2 linked regions of the Arabidopsis thaliana genome follow. The protein of the gene in region 1 interacts with the protein of each later gene in a pairwise test. Each region holds a gene or a part of one and is shown on either strand. Other genes may lie near its edges. The genes, in order: AT4G03170 and MYB39.

Region 1 (3,200 bases):
TAATATGAGAATTGGTAGAAGGAAAACTGTATTTACTCATGACTCATAAAAGGGAAACAAAGATAACATAAGACTTCCACATTACATAGACCCTAGTTAACACCTTCCACTTGAGAGTTTTTCTAAACCTCTGCATTATGATTCAACCAGAGATTCAATACCAAACAAACATCATCATTGTTATCAACAACCAAAATCCTTGATAATGTCAAATTCTTGATCATCATCATCATCATCAAAAACCAAACCATCCTACAAAATGATGGAAGCAATAACATTTATAAGAATATGATCTCACTAACATTTATGGACATATAAACAAACATTAAGAGTGCCTTAGAATCAACAGCCGAAGATCCATGACACCACTTTCTTCAGAAGAGTTACATCTGGAAATTAAATAAAGACATGATTTTGTTCCTTTTGGCTGAAACCTTCTACTTGGGTTAGATACTCTTAGACACTTTAGGCAAAACCTCACAAAACTCCACCTTGCCGTAGTGTCGAATCCTTTACTTCACCTTTCTAGATTCCTTGAGTTCCATCTTGGTCCCTGAGATCTTCTCAGGATTGTGATACTTTGAAAAGCTCCTTATCTGCTTGAAGCATTCTCCCTGTTGTCACTTTAGTGATATTCTCAGCTTGATAAGCTTTTTCACTCCTAACAACCTTGAATACCAACTCTGCAATCATTTCTCCTATGACTTGCCTGCTGGTATCAACCCCCTTTAATCTTCTTAAGCATACTATGATCTTGACCAGAGTAGACTCACTCTTAGAATCACAATAAACTTCAACAATGGCTTGTTGAAAACCATCTTCTGCAAACAGCTTTCTCATCCTGTTTACTACTTGTGTTTCTTCTGCAAAACTGAAAACAACAGCCTCTTGAACCTTTGTTCTCCTGTGACTTATGATTTCACCTGCTGTGAATTCAATTAGAAGAAATGATATTCTTTTGTCTTGATCAGTTTCATAAACAGATTTACAGTCACTTTTCACCTTAGGACTATTTTGCTCTTTGCTGTTTAAACAGACCTGCAGCTTCTTTGTGTCCTTCTCACTGCCAGCACAGAGTCATCTTGTTGACTACCCATGAAGCTTCTTATAACACCTGCAGGGCACGAATTTGCAGGTCTGATTCTTATCATGATGTTCTTTTCAGCTTTTCATCATGTTTGAGATGCACTTCTCAGCTTGTAAGAACCTCTCTTGTCTATTCTTACTTTTTACCTCTGACACACACTGGTTTCTCTTCTACTTTGAAGCTTAGACTGTTCTGCTGTCAAGACTTGACTTCTTCTGCATACTCCACAACTTTCAGTCCAGATTCTTTGTGAGTATTGATTTGTCAGTTGTCACTGACCTCGGATCAAAACTTGGCATATACATGTATGATATAGGAATTATTTCTAGTCATTAACGTTTTCGAAAATACACACATAAAACAAAGCAGTATTTTTACAGACTTAAAATAATTATTTTATCGATTAAAAAGTTGATTTTTTTTTTAATAATATAAATGGAAAACCTAAGTATAAAAGGAATTGATTTGCTAGAAAGAAGGAAAAAAACAAACCCTAAAAATATATAGATTCTTCAGCAAGGTAAGATAGAGAGAACGTGAGAGATCGATCATGGCGAATTCAACAGGTAAACCGACAAGTTCAACACAAGAAGATGAAGAAGCTACCTCGGCTACAGAAATATTAGCACAATTGATGCAAGATATTATAGATCGTGAAGAGGATATAGATGATGAAGACGATATAGATGACGAGGTTATAGATGATGAAGACTATGAGGTTGCGTCCCTTCCATTATTACAAGAAAGCCAAGCTAATCAAAAGCAGTCTAGGGAGAGGGAAGAAGAAACTGAAAAAAATCAACCTAAGAGGTTTAAGAAACAGAACATGATGAAAATAAATATCCATGACTTTTCAGAAGAAACTCTGAGGTTAATTGAGGTATGGTACGAAGCTGAACTCGATCCACAAGATATATTCGGCGATAATGAGGTGACGAGGCTATTCAGCAGACCGATAAAGAAGCAGTTGATGTCGAGCGATGTCGATAAAGATCAATGCATGCTCATGTTATCGAAGGAGCAAGTGAAGGAGAAGATGCTTCCTTTTCTAGAAGATTCAGAGAATCCGGTAAAGGGGATTGATGTTTCGGTGTATGGACCAGACGGGAAAGTTCAACAGATGGAGTTCAAGATGTGGAATGGGGATAAAACACCTGTGTTAACTTCAGGGTGGAAGCAGTTTGTGGAAGATTATGGTCTTTCGATGACTTGTGATTTTGTCACTGTTTGGATGTTTAGGCACATAAAGACTCGAAAGCTTTGCTTTGCTATTCACTACGTTAAATTTTCTTTAAGAGATTAATTTATCGAGTGGGATGATCTTGAAGACTGCTTTCTTGAATCCAAATTAGGATTTTTGAGGTTTTTGTTTCTTTCTTTTTCTGTGTTAACTAGTGGAACTACCAGGGTATTAACTAGGGTTTGCTTCCCTATTCGGTCTACAAGGATCTTGAAGACTGCTTTCTTGAATCCAAATTAGGGTTTTTGAGGTTTTTGCTTCTTTCTTTTTCCTGCGTTTTTGTTACCAGGATATTAATTAGGATTTGCTTCGCTATTCGGTCTACAATGATCTTAAACATAGATAATTGATATTTGATAAGGTACCAAAATGATGGATCATATATGGTCGTCACTGGTCAGAGAATATATGCACATTATATGGTCGTAGCTCCAACGTTTAATTTGATCTAAACTATGTATGTATCAAGGTTATAAAATATTGCACCACACAAGCTTTTTACTTACAATGTGAAATCAATGTAAAAACCGTTCTATACACATATTAATCTCACAATTACAGCGACTAAACAATACAAAAATCACAAGCAAGATTCCAAGAGGGAAAAAAACTGGAGAAACAAAGAATAAGACAAAACCAAACAACCAACACAAGAAGAAGCAAAATCAGTTGTAAGAAGAAGAAGAGAGCCAAGGGTGGTTAAGTGCCTCGAGAGCTGTTGGACGTCTCAAAGGATTGATCTCAAGTAGAGTCCTTACAAAATCTAAGAACAATTCATCACTAACTTGTAGTTGTTCTTCCAAGCTTGATTCTTCTGTGATTATGTATTCAATCTCATTGCTCTCCTAAATCAAGAATAATGCGTCACATTCA
Region 2 (4,456 bases), 8.5 Mb from region 1:
TTCCGGTAACTTTATCTTTACCAAATCCCATTGCCCAATGTCTTGGAGAGAAAGCCGAACCTACTCCAAATATGGTTCCAAATCCGAATCCGTATCGCCGGAGTTGCCTTGTCCAGGGGTTCAAAACGTCTATCCAACGTGGTTCGAGAATGCAGACCAAACCGTCGCAAGTAAACGAGGGTTGTGCGGCGTTGCAGTGCAGATAGACGATCTCTTCGTTCCCTTTGCACTGCGACGACCCGGGGAGGAGCCTAGGCTCCCAGCCGCATTTGCAGTTGTAAGCAGCCAGGATTTTGCGCTTCTTTTGAAGACTCATTCGTCTCTCCACGAACGTCTTCGACTCAAGAATTGATCTCCATCGTTTTGAGACGCTTTTCGATATGAGAATGGATTTCAAGGGAAGTCGAAGGAATATATCTTCTAGAAGATCGGCAACTATGTAGATCGAACTAGGGTTTTTCTCTTCTTCCTCCATTCTTGGTGACTGTTTGTTTTTTGATTTTTTGTCAATCTTTCTGTTAGAAACATCGAGAGATTGACATTTTAATATATTTCCTTATTGGCAAATAGGTGAATTTTTATTAAACTTGTGAATCAAGTTATGTTTCCATAGAGTTGTTTGATTGTATAAATTAGACTGCTCGTAGATATTTATCCAAAATATTGTTATTAAATGGGCAATAATAGAATGGTGATTACAATGTGTTTCTTTACACAACAACCAAACCAAATAAGAACAAATTACAAATAAGAATTCCTTTACAAGAAAATATACAAACTTTAAATCAATATTTAATAACAAACAAAATTAAGAGTATTAATCGAATATCTTTGTGTATGTATTGTCTTTAAAACTATGAGTATACGACCCGAACAAAATCCAGTTCTACCATGGGACAGGTGACGATGTGGGTGACGTTAAGCTGCAGATTAGATAAAACAATTCTGTTAATAAACCATAAATATAAATCATATACTATGTTAATCAATGCGGAGATAGATCTTACTCTAAGAAACTTTTCCAGCAAGAATCACTTGTTTCATCATCAAGAAACTTCTCCCAGTCCTCTAGGAAATCTGAACCGGATGAGTGTTGAGCTGTACTGGGATGGTTCAAACTGGTTGTCTCGGGAGAGACCGATACCGAACCAGTAGATGGGGTTTCTAGTAGTTGATCACCATAGTAACACGGCATCATACCGGTTCTGATATGATCATTTACCTTGGTGGTCGTACTGGTACCCGGTTTTGCTGTATTTAAACTCTCTTGAGAAACCGTAACCAAACCAGGAAGCTGGTTATCTTCAAAACCATCCCAAACATTTTCATAAGATGGAATGAAATCCGAGGCGGCCTCAGGAGTGATTCCACTTTGGTTTATGAAAAGACCAGCCGGGGGATCCGGTTTAGGATTCACTGAATTGGTATTGAAGCTATTGACTACCGGTTCTGGTTTAGGATTCAGTAAATTGGTCTTGAAGCTACTGATGTTTGGTATGGCTTTGGGGGTTATGATTTGAAGCATTTTATGGATCAATTGGAGTTTAAGAATATCTTCCAAAGCGGTGTTATTGTTGAGGAGGTTATTGTTACCAAATTGGCCATTGTTGATTGCTGCCGCGAGCATTTGAGAAACATCGAGGATAGGGCTAAGATCGTTGGTTCTTGGCTCGTGCGTCACTGGATCAATCCCCATTTGCAATAACTTCTTCCTCATATGAGTGTTCCAATAGTTTTTAATTTCATTATCTGTTCTTCCTGGAAGATGACCCGCAATTTTCGACCATCTGTATGGTAAAAATTCGACTCAAACGTTAGTAAAATGAACCAACGAAAACTTAACCTTTTGTATGGTTAGAGAATTATAAACTAAAGTTTAGACTATAGTCTTGAGGATGTGAATTCTATAATAGCAATAATAAACTATGCAATGGTATCCATACGTAAATTTGTTTTTGCACTTTATATTAATTTTAAAAGAACTGAAAATGGTTTATATTTTAAAATTATGAAAAAAACATGTAAACAGGAACACATAATTACGTCTGAAACAAGCGAGACCTAAATCATTTAGTGCTAACAAAATAGCATAAAAGCTTTAACGAAAAAAAAATAGTCTTACTTGTTGCCAAGGAGGGCATGGAGTCTAACGATAGTACTCTCTTCTCCATCGGAAAATTTGCCTCTCCGGATATCAGGCCGGAGATAATTCATCCACCGGAGCCGACAGCTCTTGCCACAGCGGTTAAGTCCAGCGAGCTTAGGAAGCGACCGCCAATTCCCATAACCATTCTCGTTTATATAAGCAGTGAGCTTATCATCTTCTTCTGGCAGCCACGGTCCTTTCTTCACGCCTTTGTCTTGATCGCAACACGGTGATCTTCCCATTTTGTTTATATCAAGAACCAAAACTTATCAGAGGTTTTTGAAGATATGATCTTCGTTTCGTCGCTCCCTACGATTAGGTTTGTATGTATATATAGATGTGAAAAGCAGTCATGACATAACTAAAGTAAAGTTGTGTATGCATTCGTCAGAATTTGGTGTAAATATTATTTTTCATAGTGTGTCATAAGTCTACAATATATGAGTCATTCAATAAATCAGTTAAATAACCAAAATAGTTATAACAAAATCAAGATTAGGTACTGATAATATGATATGTGTCATGGCGTTCGAACTTCGAAGAGTAATTCGTGGGGATGATGTTCAAACAAATAATTTTTATATAAAAGAATACGAATAATTGTTAATGCATTAATGGATTTTGTTATTGTGGGTTAGATGTATAAAATATTTGCCCTAGCTATGTTAGAATAAAATGTTGATATTTCCCTACTAAAATCTTTTTTTTTTGGGACCAAATTTCTTACGCTCTTTTACTTGTAAAACAATCACAAATTATATACTATTTCATAATCTGCAATTCAAACTAATCTTATTGAAATTATGTTATAAAAGAAAGCCACATTTTTCAAAAATTAAACATGCATGTGATCATTTTTGAATATTTCCTATATATGTGTATATTTCTCTATTTAGATTAAAACCTACAAATAAGAATTTCGCATAAATGCATGATTATAAATTAAACTTGTTAACTACTTTTCTTGAAGGGTATATTTAACTAATATTTAATTGAAAAGCAATATTATGTTCTCATTGCAAAGTTCATCAAAATTGGAATCTTGCATTTATCATTATGTGATTGCTTCCACCGCATTCAAAGAATTATCTCTACCTGCTTCAATGTCTCATGGTTGATCAAAGCCTACCCTTTCGCTTCTTCTTCCTCTATTTGAATTCAAACGAAGATTATTATTATTCTCCTTATTGTTACCAAACCGTCGTTTGTGCCTACCATACGTTCTGAATTTCAAGTCACAAAAAATTACCTATGCTATTATCATTTGTTTTTTGTTTAATTGTTTTGTAATTTTTTGTTACGTGAAAATATAAATTTTTTACGTGAAACTCTCTTTAGTATAGGTTATCTCAATTTCTGTTTTATATTATTCGAAAATATACATATGGATTTGGATGATCAAGTTAATACGAGATTTTCGAATTGATTTACTTTGATAAAGGAAATGGATAGCTTTTTTCGATTGACTAATTTAATTAAAGAACTTCTCTCGCGGGTTCCAAACATTAAGTCGATAGCGTGAGGAACACATAAACGAGTAAGTGGATTTTATTAGAAGGTGTAACTATAAAGTTGGTATTATATATTACGTTGTATTATACTATTGGATCTTTGAAAAAATCTTTCATAATAGAATCTTGTTGTCTTCAAAGGAATGAGAAGGATCACGACAAATTAGAAAAAAAACATAAAACGAAATTTCCTACGGTTGGAGAAAATGTTTACTAGTATAATTTAAATAATGAGGTTTAATTTCACTCTCACGGAAGATCTTGTTTACATACTTAATTACTATTTTTTTACCGTTAAATTACTGTTATGGTTTAAAGGGTCAATGTTCAGGCTTGTTTCACATTGTCAAATTAAAACCAAACACTTACCAACTCTCTATTTATCACGTTGACTATTTAAACAGTCGTATATATTAAGGGTTCCATGTAATTAGTAGCACCATATAGTATAAAATTCCTATGCTATATTTATTTGACATTGTCAACGAGTATAGATAAGACAAGCCTTAAAATTCTATGTAATGTTATTGTTACGCGGCTTACGCAACAGATACATAGTCGTCAATTTGTAATTCAATGGCTGCTTCACTCTTTCGGTCTCTGTAGCTAAAATTGACTTCCGAATTCAAATGAGTTCATAACATTGTATAAACTTTCAGTCTAGATCGGTTATCTTTTTTCTTGTTTGGATTTTTGTTCCTACTCTTGAACATCTTTGGAAACCGATCGATCTTTGAATTATAAACTTGCACCATATAGAAAACAGTGAAGGTCGCTTGAGGCACCAAGAGTATCTTCC

The links.
Region 2: the proteins of AT4G03170 (region 1) and MYB39 interact in a two-hybrid assay, tested with the Arabidopsis thaliana proteins (one large-scale study listed by BioGRID).

What each region holds. Positions count from the first base shown.
Region 1 is NC_003075.7:1,399,195-1,402,394, forward strand, and holds AT4G03170 (AP2/B3-like transcriptional factor family protein), read left to right. Parts: upstream 1-1,637; coding exon 1,638-2,390; downstream 2,391-3,200. Other genes in the region: AT4G03165 (uncharacterized protein), read right to left, coding at 184-252, 580-904, 1,039-1,097; AT4G03175 (Protein kinase superfamily protein), read right to left, coding at 2,993-3,172.
Region 2 is NC_003075.7:9,880,981-9,885,436, forward strand, and holds MYB39 (myb domain protein 39), read right to left. Parts: upstream 2,453-4,456; 5' UTR 2,389-2,452; coding exon 2,123-2,388; intron 1,788-2,122; coding exon 1,008-1,787; coding exon of another isoform or gene 1,004-1,007; exon of another isoform or gene 924-1,003; coding exon 887-923; 3' UTR 619-886; downstream 1-618. Other genes in the region: AT4G17780 (F-box and associated interaction domains-containing protein), read right to left, coding at 1-475.